Canis lupus familiaris: one gene and its partners. The protein of the gene in region 1 purifies or fractionates together with the protein of each later gene. This does not show direct contact. Links are inferred from orthologs where the notes say so. Each region holds a gene or a part of one and is shown in the gene's direction. Other genes may lie near its edges.

The links.
Region 2: the proteins of NAP1L1 (region 1) and NAP1L5 purify together in Homo sapiens (affinity purification with mass spectrometry; 3 studies listed by BioGRID and IntAct, counting the BioPlex papers as one, with this or other methods). This does not show direct contact. The link is inferred for Canis lupus familiaris from reciprocal best matches to the Homo sapiens genes NAP1L1 and NAP1L5.
Region 3: the proteins of NAP1L1 (region 1) and H2AX purify together in Homo sapiens (affinity purification with mass spectrometry; 3 studies listed by BioGRID and IntAct, counting the BioPlex papers as one, with this or other methods). This does not show direct contact. The link is inferred for Canis lupus familiaris from reciprocal best matches to the Homo sapiens genes NAP1L1 and H2AX.
Region 4: the proteins of NAP1L1 (region 1) and MAGED2 purify together in Homo sapiens (affinity purification with mass spectrometry; 4 studies listed by BioGRID and IntAct, counting the BioPlex papers as one, with this or other methods). This does not show direct contact. The link is inferred for Canis lupus familiaris from reciprocal best matches to the Homo sapiens genes NAP1L1 and MAGED2.

What each region holds. Positions count from the first base shown.
Region 1 is NC_049236.1:19,277,336-19,281,948, reverse strand, and holds part of NAP1L1 (nucleosome assembly protein 1-like 1), read left to right. Parts: intron 1-2,930; coding exon 2,931-3,072; intron 3,073-3,340; coding exon 3,341-3,421; intron 3,422-4,113; coding exon 4,114-4,242; intron 4,243-4,613. UniProt on the Homo sapiens protein: Histone chaperone that plays a role in the nuclear import of H2A-H2B and nucleosome assembly.
Region 2 is NC_049253.1:27,995,225-28,000,184, forward strand, and holds NAP1L5 (nucleosome assembly protein 1-like 5), read left to right. Parts: upstream 1-1,759; 5' UTR 1,760-1,857; coding exon 1,858-2,394; 3' UTR 2,395-3,724; downstream 3,725-4,960.
Region 3 is NC_049226.1:14,790,096-14,793,726, forward strand, and holds H2AX (histone H2AX), read left to right. Parts: upstream 1-1,703; 5' UTR 1,704-1,806; coding exon 1,807-2,238; 3' UTR 2,239-2,395; downstream 2,396-3,631. Other genes in the region: DPAGT1 (UDP-N-acetylglucosamine--dolichyl-phosphate N-acetylglucosaminephosphotransferase), read left to right, coding at 1-53, 214-369, 452-517; HMBS (porphobilinogen deaminase), read right to left, coding at 3,591-3,631. UniProt on the Homo sapiens protein: Variant histone H2A which replaces conventional H2A in a subset of nucleosomes. Nucleosomes wrap and compact DNA into chromatin, limiting DNA accessibility to the cellular machineries which require DNA as a template.
Region 4 is NW_023330544.1:39,381-44,442, reverse strand, and holds the start of MAGED2 (melanoma-associated antigen D2), read left to right. Parts: upstream 1-1,526; 5' UTR 1,527-1,656; intron 1,657-1,742; exon of another isoform or gene 1,743-1,837; intron 1,838-2,169; exon of another isoform or gene 2,170-2,262; intron 2,263-2,644; exon of another isoform or gene 2,645-3,135; 5' UTR 3,136-3,164; coding exon 3,165-3,209; intron 3,210-3,597; coding exon 3,598-4,086; intron 4,087-4,689; coding exon 4,690-4,998; intron 4,999-5,062. UniProt on the Homo sapiens protein: Regulates the expression, localization to the plasma membrane and function of the sodium chloride cotransporters SLC12A1 and SLC12A3, two key components of salt reabsorption in the distal renal tubule.

The sequences.
Region 1 (4,613 bases):
GTTTGCTGCTTTATTAGTAATTTTAAACTCTTTGCATTTCTTGAAAGTGGTATTGTTTTTGGACATAATTGCTATTATTTTATAATTTATTGTACAATGTTTCTTTCTCTTTTCCTGCTTTTCTTCAAATAAACCAAGTTGTCTTCTGATATTAAAATTGCTGCATTTTGTTTTTTGTTATTATGGTAAAAGGGCTTCTAACCTAATATCTAAGTTTATTTACCCATATTGATTTCTTAAATTTACTAATGTCTGTTTTTTTTTTGTTTTTTTTTTTACACGTATATGTTCTCTAGTCCTCTTTTTTCCCATCAAGGACAACAGTAAAATTTACCAAGGTTTTTGGCCACCCACACTTACATAGTATTTCCGGATTTTTTTTTTTTTTTTTTTTTTTTACTTAGAAATTATTTTTAATGTAATGAGTGTTTGTGGCATATTTCCTGAAGCTTCATATGTCTCATACAATTTTTATTTTGCCTTCATATTTGAATAATAGTTTGGCTTATAAAATTTTAAGTTCAAAGTTCTTAAATATCTTAAAAATTCATTTCTTCTTGTATCTGGAGTTTTCTTTTGAAGCCTGTTGTCAGTCCGATTCCTTTTCCTGTATAGGTTATTTGCTTTTTCATTGAACACACTTAGAATTTTATTTGGTCTTTGATATTCATGAATATCATTCACCTGTCTAGGGGTTAGAGTAAGGATTTTCATATTACTTTAATTCTGAGAAATTTATTGCTCTTTTCTTCAGATATCCACCTCCTGTCTTTCAGCTGTTGCTAATTTTGTTCAAATCATTTTTCTGTCTTTCCTGCTGCTTTTCTGGAGAGTATTCCAACTTTAATGAACTTCCTTAAGCTGAACCTATCCTGTTTATCTTATTTGTTGGTTATTTGTTTCAGCTACTGTATTTTTCATATTTAATATTTCTACTTTGTTTTAGATTTCTTGGTCTTGTTTCTTCCCTCCTCTCTTTAAATATATTTACATTGTTCTGTCTAATAATACGGCTTCAGATGATACGTATTTCATTCTTTCATTAGAAATTTATACTCCTTAAAGTTTTAGTTATTTTGGCTGTAGAGCTCAGGCTCACTGGCTGATTTACTCCTCAATAATGATTATTGAGGGAGGAGAAAAGATCAGGCTCTGGTTTGTGACAGTCTCGTGGAATTTAAGAATAGAGTCTGGTCACCTGAGACTCAAAGTTTACTGTCAATTCCAGGCAATTGTCTTTGGCTGCTTGGGGCAGAGGAAGTTGCTCCTTTGGTTGTAATCTGTTGTACCTGGGTTGGAGGGGTGGAGGAGGGAGTGCTTTGTAGGCTCTCAGCTCAACGAACTCCTAAGAATGCTGGCACCTGGGCTTTGTGAAGGGTGAAGAGGTCAGGCACTGGCTGTTGTAAGGCAAACCCAAAATTTCAAAAGCTTTCTTCCAGTCTGTCCTGTTCCCTGTTCTGCTCATTCTTGCCCATTTCCAGGTGGCAGTTCACCCTGTACGGTTGTTAGTCTTACTCAGAAGTTGCTCCGTAGTATGTGTGCGTGTGAGTGTGTAAGTCCCTGAAATAGTTGTTTTCTTCTTGGTTCTGAAGTTCTAGGGTTCATTTTTTTTTTCTGAGATACGGTGTAGGTGTGGGCAGCACCCCATGTTATTTCATCACCTTGACAAAACATTAAGCTTTACTTTTAACTGTAAGAAATAAAAAATTGGTAATAGGTAATTTGTTTTTTTACTTCTGATTAATGTAACTAAAGTAGCGGTTAAGTAAGAGAAATATTTGATTTACAACAATCTGCTCATGGCAGAAAATTCTAACCTGGATTCTGGATCTCTTACACAGATTCCCTGAAGTTAGATCAATTTTAAGTGAACAGTTTTTTTTTTTTTAATTTTTATTTATTTATGATAGTGACAGACAGAGAGAGAGAGAGAGAAAGAGAGAGACAGAGACATAGGCAGAGGGAGAAGCAGGCTCCATGCACTGGGAGCCCGACGTGGGATTCGATCCCGGGTCTCCAGGATCGCGCCCTGGGCCAAAGGCAGGCGCTAAACCGCTGCGCCACCCAGGGATCCCCTTAAGTGAACAGTTTTTGGGTGGTAGGGGATTCATAAGTTTACTTATACTTCAGGTGGCGTATACCCCATAGAAAATTGTATGATTTATGAATTATATCTCAAAGCTATTAAGTCCCTTCATGAAATATAGCATTCTTTTTTTAATGTAAATTCAAGTTTCTTTTTTTTAAAGATTTTATTTATTTATTCATGAGAGACTGAGAGAGGCAGACACACAGGCAGAGGGAGAAGCAGGCTCCATGCAGGGAGCCCGATGTGGGACCTGATCCCTGGACCCCGGACAGGGGAATCATGTCCTGAGCCAAAGGCAGACGCTCAACCACTGAGCCACCCAGGCGTCCCTAAATTCAAGTTTTAAATACAGAGACTAAAAGAGGAAATAATGGTATAGGATATCATCCTTTTTTCTAATATACATATGCTCCTCTCCTTTTCCCTAAAAATAGCTGGTATGGGTGAGATACACATACTTTATTTTTTTAAATCAAGGTTATTGTCGTTATTCTCAGGATGCTCAGTCAGTCCCTAAATTTTAACTTCCTAAGATAGACTGTTTTACAGCTTAGATGCCAGCACTGACAAGTCTTTGCTGAACTTGATTATGATGAAAGATTTATGTGATTTACATCTTTTTATCAACTTACTGTATCTGTTTAAATGTTCACTTTTGAAATATTTTCTAGTTAAGTCTGTGTATTTTATATTTCTTGACTTTTAATTACTTTGAATAGACCTTTTGTTTCAAATAGGAGATTTAACATTCACTAACTTTTATGCTTTACTATTCAATATGATAGAAGTGTGAGTGTTTTACTCTGAATGCTATGTAACTGGTGCACTTCCAACCTTTCAGTTTGCCTAGGGTAGTTAAAAGACGAGTGAATGCTCTCAAAAATCTTCAAGTTAAATGTGCACAGATAGAAGCCAAATTCTATGAGGAAGTTCATGATCTTGAAAGAAAGTATGCTGTTCTCTATCAACCTCTGTTTGATAAGGTAATGATTTCTACTACTTTATTTTCTTTACCTAAAATTTGAGATTATAATAAAGCTCTGGAAATACAACCAACCTTGCAGATGGTTTAATCTTTATAGACCTCTCAGCAAAATGGTTATTCGAGGTATTTGGAAAAACTCAATAATAGCAATTCAATTGGTGGTACGCATTCATAAAATCTATACACAGCTTTAATGCAAAACAGCTAGTTTTTGGCTTGGATGTCAGTGTTTTTATGCAAGCTTTTCTTTTTTTAAATCATTTTAGCGATTTGAGATCATTAATGCAATTTATGAACCTACGGAAGAAGAATGTGAATGGAAACCAGATGAGGAGGACGAAATTTCGGTCAGTACCAACTTTAATGTAGTGTTTTTTTTGTCTTGGAAATATTTTATTGTAAGATTGTTGGTGAGTTAACAATAATCAGAACAGATGAGCCACTCACTGTTTGCCCTGCTACCATCTGTACCCAAATTCATTTTTCCCTTACATTTTTTAGTATTTAAATTTTATAGATCATGTAAACTTTTCCTTTGAATTTAATGACATGCAAAGGATTGTTCTTGTTTTTCAAGTAGTAGAGGCCTCTAAGTGATTTGCCTACAACTAATAAATGGCAGGATTGTGACACAGATCCGGTGTCTGTTCTATGACTATTTCCCGAGCGTTGCTATTTTAATGTTGGTTGATTAGGAGAACATAATGTTTTGATCAAAAACACCAAGGGGTGAGGATTTGGGCACAGTTTATGTTTCTTTTTTTAACTAAAGTTAAAAAATTTTTTTCTCTAAAACGGTTTCCCCATAGCTCATAGGTTCTACGTTTTGGGAGGGTTATGGTAGTAGCAATAAGTAAGGTTTGGTATGGGTAACAGCAGTGTTTACACAGTTGGATTAGAACTTGTTTGAAAATTGCAGTTGGTGATTGAGGATTTGCTGGTTTCTGTACTTCATCACTGGATGTAAGTTAGGAGATGGTAAGATTTTATCAAGTGATCTAATCTAGTTATTCAATAATTTATGCTGTTATTTATCTAGGAGGAGCTAAAAGAAAAAGCCAAGATTGAAGATGAGAAAAAGGATGAAGAAAAAGAAGACCCCAAGGGAATTCCTGAATTCTGGTTGACTGTTTTTAAGAATGTTGACTTGCTCAGTGATATGGTTCAGGTAATTTTATTCATTAAAAACATCAGTTTACCTCAAAGGGTAAAAACCTTTGAAATTTAAATGGGTATGATGACTAGTCACTCCATTGTTGACCTCTACAGAATGATTGCTGTCTTTTGAAAACTGTTACCTGTAGAAGGAAAATTGCATCTTCGATTATTGTAATCAAATTATAGTTCATTTTCAAGTTAGATACTGAAATAGTCCCTTTGACAGTTGTTTATCATTGAGCAGTGTTTTGTTTAGTCTTGTGTCTTCTCTGTTTAGGTGCTTGGTATTAGAGAGTGGAGAGAGGAAACTTAAAATTTCATTTATCTTACCAAAAAGACCTTTTCAGTCTGAAACAAATATTGAGGAACATTTGCATTTTA
Region 2 (4,960 bases), on another chromosome or scaffold:
TCTAGAATCTGGCACTATGGTCTGGATTTTGCAGAGAGTAACTATGCAGCTGCCATGGATCATCCCCCACCCAATCCCCTCTATTAGTAAGTTACCCTGAACAAAGCTCTGTGTAAACTGTTTGGAGTGGCTTGCTTCATCTTCTGGTCTCAAAGTGCCTTCTCAGTTTGGGGAATCATTCTCAGTTTGGGGGATGCTTCCACCTCCTAACAATGGGAGATATATAGAATATGTATAATGTCACCAACTAAATATAGATGTATTATCACATTAAATTCAGTCGGAGCTAAAACGGATATGTCAGCCTTACCAATAAAACCCAGTCACTACAAATGGTAACAGAAAAGGGGAAAGTAAATTACTGGAACAGAATTAAGAAAGTAAACAGACAACAAGAATCACCAATACATAAACAAAAACACCCTAGAATGTCTGCTAATGGGAATATATTGGGCTTTTTGTAAATGGTTCCTTTCTTTGGGGAAGGGCACAAAAATGTCCTTCTTAAAAGGGAACATTAATGCAGGTTACCTTGCATATTCATGAATGCAATTATTTTGTTTAAAAAAAAAACACACACCAAGTGGTTGCTACGTGTCAGCATTAAGTGCTTTACATATTAACTAATATTCATAAAAACCGTAAGATAACATCAAATGTACTCTGGGAAGTAATTTCCTAACATTCATACGCTTGATGGAAGAGCTTTAGTAAGTCCCAATTTGGTGAATGAAAAACATTTAAATCAATTCCTGTCGCATTTGAAAACATTCCTACGGAATCCCTGGAAGGATCATTCGTCTTCTTCCATACCTCAAGTATGTGCAGTCATCTTTAATTCAAGAAGCTACATTCGGCCTGATAAAAGCAAGGGGGAAGAAGTAACATAAAGCGACTACTCACCCTGCTATCAGAAAAGGAGACTTCTCTAGTTAGGACCTTTCTGAAAAAGTGTTCTCAGATGCAAATCAGCAGCAAGACCACAAAGCGGACTGAACCGTGGAGTGCACTGGGGGACCACGTCTGAGAGCACACGGGGGCGCCCCTACGAACAGCCGCACTGAACACACGCTTTACCCCGGGCGTGGGGGGGCCTTGCCGGTCTTTGGCGGTTCTCCAGCTTTACTCCTGCCCTCAGGACAAGGATCTGAGGGAACTTCCAGAACACACCCCAGAATACCAAGGGTCCTTAGACTCCCTATCCAAATGGCTGCAAAACTGCTTCCAGGGTGCCTCTTGCTAAGAGACGTGCCGCCAACACACAGGGCACTAAGCTGAGGACGACCGAGGCCGCTGGGTGGGCATCTGCCCGCGTGGGCTGCCCTCTCCGACACAGGCCCCCGTCCCCGAAGGGCGGGCAGAGGAGGGTCCGCTCTCCCGTGCCTCCGCCGTCTGGAAGGGAGGCGGCCGAAGCCACTGACGCCAGACCAAGGCCAGCTGTGCGGTGCTGCAGAGGCCGAGGCCGACAGCCCCGAGGTGGGGTCCGAGGACGCGAGCGGGGCAGAGCGGCGGACTCAGGAGGGCGGAGGCCGCCCAAGCGGCTCCCGAAGAGGGGGCCTCGGGCACCTGCTGCCGTTCCCAGCCCAGCTCCGCGGGGGCGAGCGCCTAAGGAACGCGCTTGGACGTCAGCCGCGGTGCCAGGGAGGCGGCGGGCAGCCCCAGGGCCCGCGGGCGCCCGTCAGCTGACGGCGGAGCGCCAGTCGGGGGCGGCGGCAGGGGGGCGGGGCGCGGCGCGGCCGACGTCACCGCCGCGGCCGACGTCACCGCCGCGTGCCGCAGCCGCAGGACCGCTCTGGCGCAGCGCGGGCGCGGGTGTCTGCGGGAGCCACGCTAGAGCTCCGCGGCTGCTGCTGTAACATGGCTGACTCGGAAAACCAGGGGCCTGCGGAGCCGAGCCAGGCGGCGGCGGAGGCGGCGGAGGAGGTAATGGCGGAAGGCGGCGCGCAGGGGGGAGACTCGGACAGCGCGGCCGGTCCGACGGCCGAGGAGCCCCAGACCCCCGCGGACAACGCGCCGAAGCCCAAAAATGACTTTATCGAGAGCCTGCCCAACTCGGTGAAGTGCCGAGTCCTGGCCCTCAAAAAGCTGCAGAAGCGCTGCGATAAGATAGAAGCCAAATTTGATAAGGAATTTCAGGCTCTGGAAAAAAAGTATAACGACATCTATAAGCCCCTACTTGCCAAGATCCAAGAGCTCACCGGTGAGATGGAGGGGTGTGCATGGACCTTAGAGGGGGAGGAGGACGACGACGACGAGGAAGAGTACGAGGATGAGGAGGAGGGGGAGGAGGAGGAGGAGGAGGAGGAGGAAGCTGCGGCGGAGGCTGCTGTGGAGGCGGCGGCTGCCAAAGATGAGGGTCCCCACTCTGCAGTGCCTGATGACGCCAAGAAATAAGCGGGGCCAGAGATGGAAGAGGAAGAGTGACGACGAAAACAAAACCCCCTATTTTCTTTCTTTCTTTCTTTTTCTTTTTTTTGAATATTGGTGGACTTCTAAAAATAAGGCTCAGGTTTGGGACCAAAATACAATGTGAATCAATTTTGACGTTCCTAAAATTAAGTTCAATTGAAGCAATCAGATCCTGGCCAGCCCGTTTCACATTTTTCATTTTGAACACAATAAATGTATCAAAAGGTGTTGAAGAAAACCAGTTAAATTTAAAATGATTTTTTTTTTTTCCATGATCTCTTCTGCACGGACTGCAATTGAGGCTTAAGGGTGTCAAGTAGATGTGAAGAATGTCACTTTGAAACCTATTCATCCCACCATCATCACACTACACACGGAACACCCAGACCAAGACTGAATGAACATGTTCTCAATGCTTAATTCTTCAGTTTCTTTAGTCCGGACATTCTCCAGTGCGGAAAAAGCAGAAGACTCTCATCTTTAAGTCTTTGCTTTTGTAACCCACACATCAGCTTTACACTTCAGAGAAGAGTGATGGAATTGTGGAAGCCTGTGATGGAGATCATGACAGTACTGTTTAATGAGGTCTGGAAAACTGCCACTTCACATTCTAAAGAATGTTCTGAATATTTGAATTTAAGACAAGCAACATGGTTCTGAGAAGGAGGGTGTATAACCTGTATAATATTGTCAACGTATGTGTTCGTTATTTACAGTCTTATGTTTATGTGTGTTCTTGGTAGCGTCTGTTTACAAAGGTGGAAAAAAAAACCCCAAAATGTTTTAAGTATTCAATCCCTTTACCTAGCTTTCTAGAAATATTAATTTACTTGAAAAGATGTAGAATGTAGCAAATCCTGTAAAGCATGTGTATTCAGTGTTTTATGTAGTTTGATCCTTGTGAAGTCTTTTTGTCATGTAGCTTTTAGAATGTAGCTGTGAAAATTATCAGAACTCTTCAATGAAGCTAATGTTGGAAAAAATAAATACTTGAAGAACCAATACAAGTGTGTGTCCCCACCCCCAGCTCAGAAGTAGAAGGGTTTAAGTTTGCTTGTATTAGCTGTGCCTTCATTATTTTGCTATGTAAATGTGACATAATAAATTTAAAAAATGGTGCATATTCAAATTTTAATGCTTGAAGACAGACTGGCATACAGTTAAGGATTTTCAGGAAGGACACATTAAATGTAAAGACTCCTAAGCTTCCTTGTGGGTTTTGAACTTTGTGTGATTCAGTGATCTATAAAAAAACATAAGCATAAAGTTGTTTACCACTGTAGTGTTAATAAAACAGTATTTTCAAAAAACAAAAGGACTCGGAATACTCTGCCTGCCTGCCTGGAATCAAATCCCAGCTCTGCCTCTTACAAGCAACGAACCTTACACAAGTCAGTTGATCTGTTTCAGTTTCTCCTTCTATAAAAGGGGATAGTAACAGCCTCTTCCTCACAATTATGGAGAACAAGTCAGCTAATACACAAGTTCTGTAGGATAAGGTCTGACACACACTCAGTGCTCAAGAAATTTCAGCTATTATTATTTAATTATTGTTTTATTATTACATGAAAGATAAAGACACTGATTGGAAATTCAATCTTCCTTCCCTCCCCAGGTACAAAAGGGGGAGAAAACAGACATCATTGTATTCTTAAGTTTATCGATTCCTCCTCAAAGAATGTGGACTTTAATTTGAAAACAGGAAATTCAATAATCTATCTCATTTTGGTTTCCTCAATATATAATAAGGTTTTGATTTCCTCCCAGAATAGATAAAAGACTTTTACATGTGATATTATGCATATGCAAAACAAGGCTACTTCAACCTTAACATCTGGGCATCCTGAATGAAGCAAAATAGTCTAAAAATTAACCCTCCCCCCTAAAACTTAAAAATTCAGATGCATTTCTTCCATTTCACTTAAGGGTTAAAATTACACAAGTGAAATTATGCCACTTTTCCTTAAGGACAGGAAGGCAGCTCCGACCTGTTGCTATTGGCAATAGTAGAGTTAAACCTTAACATAATGTTAATCATCCTTAGGACCAGGCCAGCCGAAAGAGAAAAATCAAGGTAACATATTATGCAAGAAGTCAATGATTATCTTAATTATATGATTATTTTAATAGAAGCAAAAACTAATAAAATTCAGTATTTCTTATCTCTAGGGATAAGAGACTCCTTTAATATTTTTCTAAATCCATCTAGTAAAAAAAAAAAAAAAATGAATGAAACAAATAAGGAGTCTAACTACCTGGGAAAATTTTTTTTCTAAGCATGTAATTATATATAGAAAACCCAAGAAAAATGACTGAAAATTATTAACATTGACTAAATTCGAGCAGTTGACCAGCTGCCAGATAAATATACAAAACTATTAACTATTTCTAGGTACCAATAATGATCAAAATATATGGAAAGACTCTTTCACAATAGAAATAAAACATTTATAAAAACCTCAAATAAAAAATAGGTATAACCTATGTGAAAAGTGAAAAAATCAGAAAGAAATGTAAAACAGGGGATCCCTGGGTGGTGCAGCGGTTTGGC
Region 3 (3,631 bases), on another chromosome or scaffold:
ATTCCAAGTTCAAGACCAAGAGCCTCTCTTTCTTGGGCAACTTTATTCTAAAGGTAACAGGGTAACAAGGAGGTAAGGCTCTAGGCCACCATCCGGAATTCAGGGCCTGGGGACCCTCGGCTTGCATCAGATCCAAGGGGAGCCTGGAAGCATGAAGCAGATCCCCCATTGCTGAAGCAGAGTTGAAGTTCTCTCCACCTCTGGCCCCTCCAGGTAGCAGCGAGCCTGCAGCTAGTGACAGTGCACCAGAGTGAGAATGAGGATGGTGCCTTCACGGAGTGTAACAACATGACGCTCCTCAACTTGCTCCTTAAGGTTCTCGGGCCCATGCATGAGAGAAACCTGACTCTGCTCCTGCTGCTGCTCCAGGTGTGGTCAGGGAAGGGCTTTGCTGGCTCTGGTCTCCCTTTCTCCATGGCTCTGACTCTGGTGTGTTTCTTTCTCCTCACAGATCCTTGGCAGTGCTGTCACCTTCTCCATCCGGTACCAGCTTGTCCGGCTCTTCTACGATGTCTGAGTCCCCCAATCCTTGCCCTTCACTGCATAGTCTGCAGGGTTCCTGACTCAGGCCTGCCTCTTTCTGGGCCAGGCAAGCTTCCGGGCCCAGGCCTCTCTCACCTCTTACTTTTCTCCAGATTTTGTACTTAGCGATTCCGTTCCGCTGTGATCGACATCCTGGGCCTGTCTTGCCCTGTACTGACTGTTGATTGGACTTTGCCTGTGGCTTTCTTCAACTTGCTGCTCTCCCTCTCTATCCCATCCCTGCGGCCTCCCAAAGTGGGATACTGTGCTTTTTATGCAGTTATCCACCACTCGGACTCTCGAGGAATATGTTGGGCCTGGGGATAGAACCCTGGCTGGGGAGAGGGACACAGGCTCGAAGATCACTTGATTATTTGACCATAAATTAAGTATTCTGATTCGTAAGAGCAGATTGGGGGGCCAGGTGCTCCCAGTGGTGACAATAAAGTGTTGTCTTTTTCTTGGTGTTCCTGTAAGTATATTTTGGGCATTTTAGGGTAGATCGGGAGGATTGGTGGAGGTACCTCCTCCAAGAGGATGCCTATCCCTCTGCCCATCTTTTTTCTTTCAGCACAGTGGGCTCCTTGTAACAAGAAGTCAACAGAAAGAACAGACCAAATAGAACATGTTGAATAAGCCCTGAAATCCTCATACTTCAGGTGGCAGGGAGAGCCCTAAGATTGGACTTGCCTGTTCTCTGGTGCCGAACAGAAGTTTTTAGGGGGAGCAGCGGGAGGGGTTCCCATTTCTTCCCTCTCTCATTTCCCTCTGCAGGATGGGAGGAGGGAGAAAGGAGAGAAGAATGACCAGACCAGGAAGGGAAGGGAGTGGTGTCGACCCCGTTCCTTTAAAAATCCCGGGCCCGCACCGGTTTCCCAGAGGCCCTCGAGGTGGCCCAGACTCCACCCTCTTTGCCTTCCGGTTCTGGGCTCCAGCTGTAGCGTTTAAATCTGGCGCCCTTCGCAAGGATTGGCTACATCGGGGAGGGGTTGGCCGGCTGCGTGCTACCACTCCTCCTCGCCTTTTTCCCCGGGCAAAAGGTTTTCAAATCGGACCAATCGGCGGGCGCGCTGCCTCGGCCGTGGCGCGTCACTGAAGGGTTAACTGCAACCAACCGGAGGCGGGTACCCGAGGAGAGAGCCAATCAGGAGGGCGCGGAGGTGTGCCCTGGGGGCTTATAAGGCCGGCCCCTGGGCGCGCGCGGCAGCAGTTGGACTGCGGCGGGCGGCTGTTCGTTGCCCCCTTCGAGGCGTCCCTCTTCACAGCTCTTCTACCTCGCGCAGCATGTCGGGCCGCGGCAAGACCGGCGGCAAGGCCCGCGCCAAGGCCAAGTCGCGCTCGTCGCGCGCCGGCCTCCAGTTCCCCGTGGGCCGCGTGCACCGGCTGCTGCGGAAGGGCCACTACGCCGAGCGGGTGGGCGCCGGCGCGCCGGTGTACCTGGCGGCCGTGCTCGAGTACCTGACGGCCGAGATCCTGGAGCTGGCGGGCAACGCGGCCCGCGACAACAAGAAGACGCGCATCATCCCCCGCCACCTGCAGCTGGCCATCCGCAACGACGAGGAGCTCAACAAGCTGCTGGGCGGCGTGACGATCGCGCAGGGAGGCGTCCTGCCCAACATCCAGGCCGTGCTGCTGCCCAAGAAGACCAGCGCCACCGTGGGGCCGAAGGCGCCTGCGGGCGGCAAGAAGGCCACGCAGGCCTCTCAGGAGTACTGAGGGGCGCCCGCGCCGCAGCCGGCCCCCATGCCACCACAAAGGCCCTTTTAAGGGCCACCACCGCCCTCACGGAAAGAGCTGAGCCACGTCGGGCTCGGGGCGGGCGGCCGCGGCGCTCGGCTCCCCCCCGCCGCGTCGTCACCGCCGCCGCCGCCGCCCGGCCCGCCCCTCCCCCGCGCGGGCTCGCCTGCCCTCGCTCCCGCCGCCTCCCGGCCGGAGGGCCGCCCGCTCGCCCGGCGCAGGGGCCCGGAGGGGGCCGGGGGCGCGCCGCTGCCCGCCGCGGCGCCAGTGACTCAGCCGCCCGGGCCGCGCTGAGGGCCGCGGGGAGGGCCGCGGGGAGGCCGCGGCGCCGCCTGGAAGAGCCGCTCGGCGCGCTGACGCAGGGCTGAGGTACGCGCCGGGGCCGGGCCGGGCCGGGACTCTCCGGACGCCGCGGTGCGGGGACGACCCGTCACTGTCCGCCCTGCCGCCCCCTCGGCTCGGGCCGAACGCGTCCGCGGGGACCTGCCACCAGGGGGGGAGGGGCGGTGCGCCCCGCGGGCCCCGGGACTGCAGGAGGCGCGCGCCCGCGAACCCCGCCGCCCGGCCCGCTCTCTCCGGCGACCGCTCCGCGGGCCTCGCACCTCCGTACCAGCACCGGCCCGACCGTCCCCATCTGCACTGAGCCTCCGACAGCTTCGGAACTGGAATTTTGCAGCTATCCCCATCCAAGACTAGGACCCTACAGATTGAGGAGTTTCAGATGGACTAATTTTGTTTATTAAAGGATTGTTTTTTTAAAAACGCGGTGTCTGTTGTCATTCTGTACGAGCTGTAACACCCACGACTCTGTAGGCGGGAGGTGTACTGAGGGAGTGGGGGTCAGGGGGACTCGGACCGATGGCCCGCCTGTGGGGCATACACACGGGCTAGCTGGGCAGGGACAAGTCCTAGGCTTCTCCCCCACTTAACTGGGAGGCCATTTGTTGTTGGAAATGAGAACGGCTGTGGCAGGAACAAAGAATGTTCCAGGAGAACTTTGCACAGAGGTCCCAGCCTCGGAAGTAGAGAGCACAAGGTTTTGTGTCCTCTTTCCTGCAACCCCACCAAAAACAAAGTCACCTTCAGAGCTGGTTTATTAGTTGAGTTGGTTACATTCAAAGGCCGTGGCTTGAACTTTCTCTAAAGAGATGAAACCTCCGCCTACTGCGGCAGCAAGGCACTCTTCACAGCCTCAAGGTGAGGCAAGTCTCTGACCTTGCAGTTCAACTCCCTGGGGTGATCACCTCAGTCAGCAGTGAGGATGGGGCACTGAGGGCTGGGAGGTAGGCACTGGACAATAGCCACCCAGACACCGGTGCCCCACAGAGCAGTTAGTGGGCATCATTAAGCTGCCGTGCAACATCCAGTATGT
Region 4 (5,062 bases), on another chromosome or scaffold:
GAATCTAGGAGACAAGAAATTAGGAAACTGATAAAAACTTGGAGGAAGCAACAATTGAGAGAAAGAGAGGAATCAGGAGAACAGAGGCCCATCTTGTGTGGGAAGTGTGTGTGTGTGTGTGTGTGTGTGTGTGTGTGTAAAAGAGAGAGAGAGAGAATTATCCATAGAATGTAGGGATTGATATTTTATTATAGTAAAGGAAAAGGTGACCTCATAAAGCACTAGACTTATGACCATTTGAATTACTTTTGAGTGTAAGAAAGGTATTGAATATTATTTCTGTAACTGACCACTACGCTGAATTTTATTATGGTTTCTAATAACTTTTTAGTTGATGCTTTGGGGTTCTCCAGGTCTGCATTCATATACTCAGTAACTAATGATAATTCTGTCTACTTTCCATTATTTATACATCTTATTTTGTTCTCTTGAATAGACCCAATTACTTATGTAAATTTATTATGTGATAAAAGTGTCATGTCAAATCAATGGGAAAAAAGATGGATTAATTTGCAAATGGTGTAAGGATAAGAGACAGTGATTTTGGAAAATAATTAAGCTGAGTCCTTTTACAAAACAGATTTTGGAATAATCAAATACTTAAATGTAAATATCAAAGCCATAAAAGTGCTTGGGAAAAAACAGGGATTGTTATAGGAGTGTGGAAAGCATCTTTAAGCATGAAGCAGAATCCAGTCGTGATAAAGGAACACCTGATACATTTCATCATATAACAATTAAATCCTTTTGTATAGCAAAGGTTATCATGAATAACATGAAAAATATTTGTTATATTTGTAACACAAGCATATGAGAGACATTGTTGGTGGGAACATTATTCCCATGTACCTTTTGAGAGTAAGTTGACAAATTTCTTATCAAATGGAAGACTTTTTGTAGCATTTTAGTCAGCAAAAAGTACTGCAAATAAAAAAAGCTCAATACAGATATACAGATGCAGAATATTCCTTGTAGCATTGCTTGTAATAGGAGAGAGAGAGAGAGAGAGAGAGAGAGAGAGAGAAACAATCTGAATGTCCATAGCCATGTATCCTGGACTGGTTAAATAAATTATGGGCCATCTATACAAGATAATAATATGAAGTTGTTAAGAAAAATGTGCACTATAGAAAGCTGTTTAGAATATATAACTGGAAAAAAAACAGGTCATGGAACAGTAGGTGTAGGATACCATTTGTGGGGAGAAACCCCAAATAATTAGTAATGAATAGGAAAAAAATCTGGAGGACTGTATATAAAAATGTTAATAGTGGTTATTTCTGGGAAATGAGATAAGGGTGGCCTTTCATTGGTATGTTACACATTTCTGCATTATTTGAATTTTCACATGATTATCTTTGTAATAAGAAAAAATAAAGATACGAAAATAAATACATTCAGTGAATGAATCGCTTTGAGGCGGTGGTTTTAGTTCGAAGGTCTGCAGACTGAGCCTGGTACAGTGGCATAAACATGGGCTTTGGCGTCAGACAGCCCAGAGCTGGGCCCCTTGCCCCACCCCCAAGGAAGGAGGGGGGTGGCAGGGGGCTGCGGAAAGGGGCTGGGCTGGGCTGGCTGCAGCTCTAGTCCAGGAGGCTGAGACTTCGAGAGGGACTGAGAGAGGGCAGACTCATCCCGGACTTGCTGGAGGACAAGGTGAGGGGCGTTGAGATTTGGGTTTCCTGGCAGCCAGTGATTTCAGTTCCCTCGAACCTATAGCCAGGCAGGTGGGCAATCCATACTGCACCACTGCAGCTGAGGGAGAGATGACCTGGAGCAGGATGTAGGCAATCAGGACTCCTGAGGGTAGTAGGCGGTAAGGATTGGCGATCTGAGACTAGTGGGGAGGAGGGGAACCGGGTTTGTTGAGTGACCGACTGGGAGGAAGAGGGGAATACTGAGGGAAAGTGGAAATCCAGAGAAGAAAATAGGGAATGCAGAGAAGGGTTAAGGAGTACTAGGGAAGGGGGTGCAAAGGTAACACAGGATAGGATGTAAGGAATAGGAATAAGGAATTCTGTGGGGTAAAATAGGAAATGCGAGGGGTGATAGGGAGCAGGGAGCAAGGCAGAGGGAATACGGGGGTGATAAGGAATGAGGATCAGCGGGGGGCGGGGGGGAAGGGCAGACTGGCTGCGACAGAGGCCCCCCTAGGGAGGCGGAAAGGGGCGGGACCACTTCCGGCCTGGAGCAGGGAGGGCAGTCTAGGAGTTTTAGAGGGGCTTGGAGCGTGGACGCACTCTGGAACTTAAGGAGAAGGAGGTGAGCTGTGGGGCCCAGCCCGGCTCTGGATCACAGCCCAATAAGGATCGGCCCCACCCTCTCATATCTGGAGAAAACCTGCTGTAGGGACCGGATCGTACCGGATCCATCCGGATGGGAAGGGAGGGGACTGGACCCGGTTTGGCTGGGCCTAAAATGGAATCACTGGCTCCATTCTAGATTTGAGGAGGGGGTGTACTAAGGAAGGGGCGGAACCAAGATGCGCTTTGCCCCTGGTTGGAGGGGGCGTGTTGTGAAAAAGGGCGGGACAGGGCCATAGTGTGGACTTGGGGTGGGTGTGAGTAGGGGAGGGGCCGGGACCACCAAACTGCGACAATTTTAGAAGAAAGCTTGTTGGGGAGGGGGCGGGACCAAATGGTACTGCGGACCTGGAGAAGGGCTTGTGTTGAGAAAGGGCGGTGGACGGAGTCCGGACCATTGCGCATGCACACTCTGGATTGCTAGGAAGGGGCGTGTAGAGGAAAGCCAGCCTGGAGACGGGCTGCTGCCGAATGCGCATGTGCATGGTGGACTTCAAAGAAAGAGCTTGTGCTGGGAAAGCGGGCGGGGCTGAGGTGGGCCTCCGCAGCGAACGCGCATGCGCATTGTTGGTCTGCGGCTGGAGGGGGGGTGCACTGGGAAAAGGGGCGGGGTCCTCAGAGCTGCCGCGCTGGCACATCTTCCTGGAGAAGGGGAGGGTGCGGCTGCAGAGAATTGAGATCTAGAAGCTTTGGATTACTGAATCCGAGAACGGAGTCATTGGGGGCGGGGGCGGGGTTTGGGTTTGGGGCCCTAGGGAAAGTGAGGATCAGCTTCCAGGCAGAACAGGAGAGAGGACGTTCAGGCCCTTTGACACAGGCCTTCTCTCCTCAGGCTCAGCTCTTGCCAGGCCAACTTGAGACATGTCTGACACAAGCGAGAAAGGTACGGGTCCAACCCGCTTCCAGGTAAGGCCTCATTTTGTCCTCTCCCTTACTACTTTTCTTCTCCAGCGCGTTGCTGCCTCAGTTCCCTTGGTACCACCCCTCCCATCCTTGTCCTTTACCCACTTTCCTTCCTGGGTGCCCCCCCTCACCAGTAGAGGGAGTGAGGGAGGGAGGAAAGAAGGAAGAATGAAGGATGGAGGAAGGAAGTAGGGAGGGAGGGCAGGCCTGCCTTCTTCTGCCATCACTTCCTGCTCAGAGGAAGGAGAGGCCTTGTTGGGTCTAGGTGGGCAGAGCTCACTGTAAGTAGGAGTTAGTATAGGTCAGAGAAGTGAGGTCCTGGAATTTTGGAGCCATTTTCCTAGTTGGGAATGGGGAGAAGGTCTGTGAGCTTTCCTGCTTCCTCTTGCAGGCTGAAGCTTCAGAGGACAGTGGCTTGAAGATACAGACCCTATTGACAGTGACCCATAATTTGGAGGTCTCAGAGATACCGAAGACCTCAAAGGCACTAGAGACCTCAGAAGCCATGAAGGTCTCAAATGCTGCAGGAGTCTCAAAGGCCACAGAGGTCTCAAAGGCCCCAGAGGCTCAGGAGGTGGCTGCCACTCAGGCCTCCCCTACCACTAAGCTGACTGATACCCAGGTTCTGACAGTTGAAAAGAAGAGTCCAGCAGCTGACACCAAGATGCAGAGTGCTGACCCTCAGCCTGTGACAATGCCTGCCACTGAAACCAAAAAGGTCAGCTGTGTGGCTGATATAAAGGCTGGTACAAAGGCCCTGGAGACTGAGGCTCCTGCCTCTCAGGCTTTGGCAGATGAACCTAAGCCTGATGGTGCGGCTGCCCAGGCTCAGGAGAATCAGGATACTCGGCCCAAGGTCAAGGCCAAGAAAGCCAGAAAGGTAAGACGTCTATAAACACCAGTCTTCCCTTTCCACTTCTCTTCATTAGTCCATTTGTTCTGCAAACATTTAGAAAGTTCCCTGTGCTCATCAAGATTAAGGGGGACAATAAGAGGAATGTGATATCATTTCTCTCTGCAGAGAGTTCACAGAGTCATGGAGAACTGAGATAGTACACATACTTAGCTGCAATGTTAATGTAGTTTGTATTTACATAGGACCTACCATGTGTTAGACCTTGAGCTAGGCACATGCATACAGGTTATTTCATTAAATCCTGAAAGTAATCCAGTTTTATAGAGAAGGAAGCTGAGTCCTAGAAAGGTGGGGTGACTTGTGCAGGGTGGTACAAGAAGGGCCAGTGGTGGACATAGGAAGAGGAGAATTCTCAGGCCCCATCTCAGGTTGTTCCTAGCCTGGTAGAGAGATGAAACTTCTGCATTGAAGTCAGTGAAAAACAGTCCCAAGACTCAACATGGCCAATGTCTAATCAGGCTGTTACTCCAGGGGTGGGATTAGAGGGGCCTTCCAGAAGAGAGAGGATGAGGGAAAAGGAACATCTACTTTGTTTGACAATATTGTGCTTCCTCTCTGTTGCTGCAGGTGAAGCATCTGAATAGCGAAGAGGATGGCAATAGTGATCAGAGTCAGGCTTCTGGAACCACAGCTGGCCGAAGGGTCTCCAAGGCCCTAATGGCCTCAATGGCGCGCAGGGCTTCAAGGGGCCCCATAGCCTTTTGGGCCCGCAGGGCATCAAGGACTCGTTTGGCTGCTTGGGCCCGGAGAGCTTTGCTCTCCCTGAGGTCACCTAAGGCCCGTAGGGGCAAGGCTCGCCGTCGAGCTGCGAAGCTCCAGTCATCCCAAGAGCCTGAAACACCAATACCTCGAGATGTGGCCCTTTTGCAGGGGAGGGTAAGAACCCTGTCCTCTCCACTCTGCCTTATCTACTGCCTTGCCTACCTTTTCTGCCTTCCTC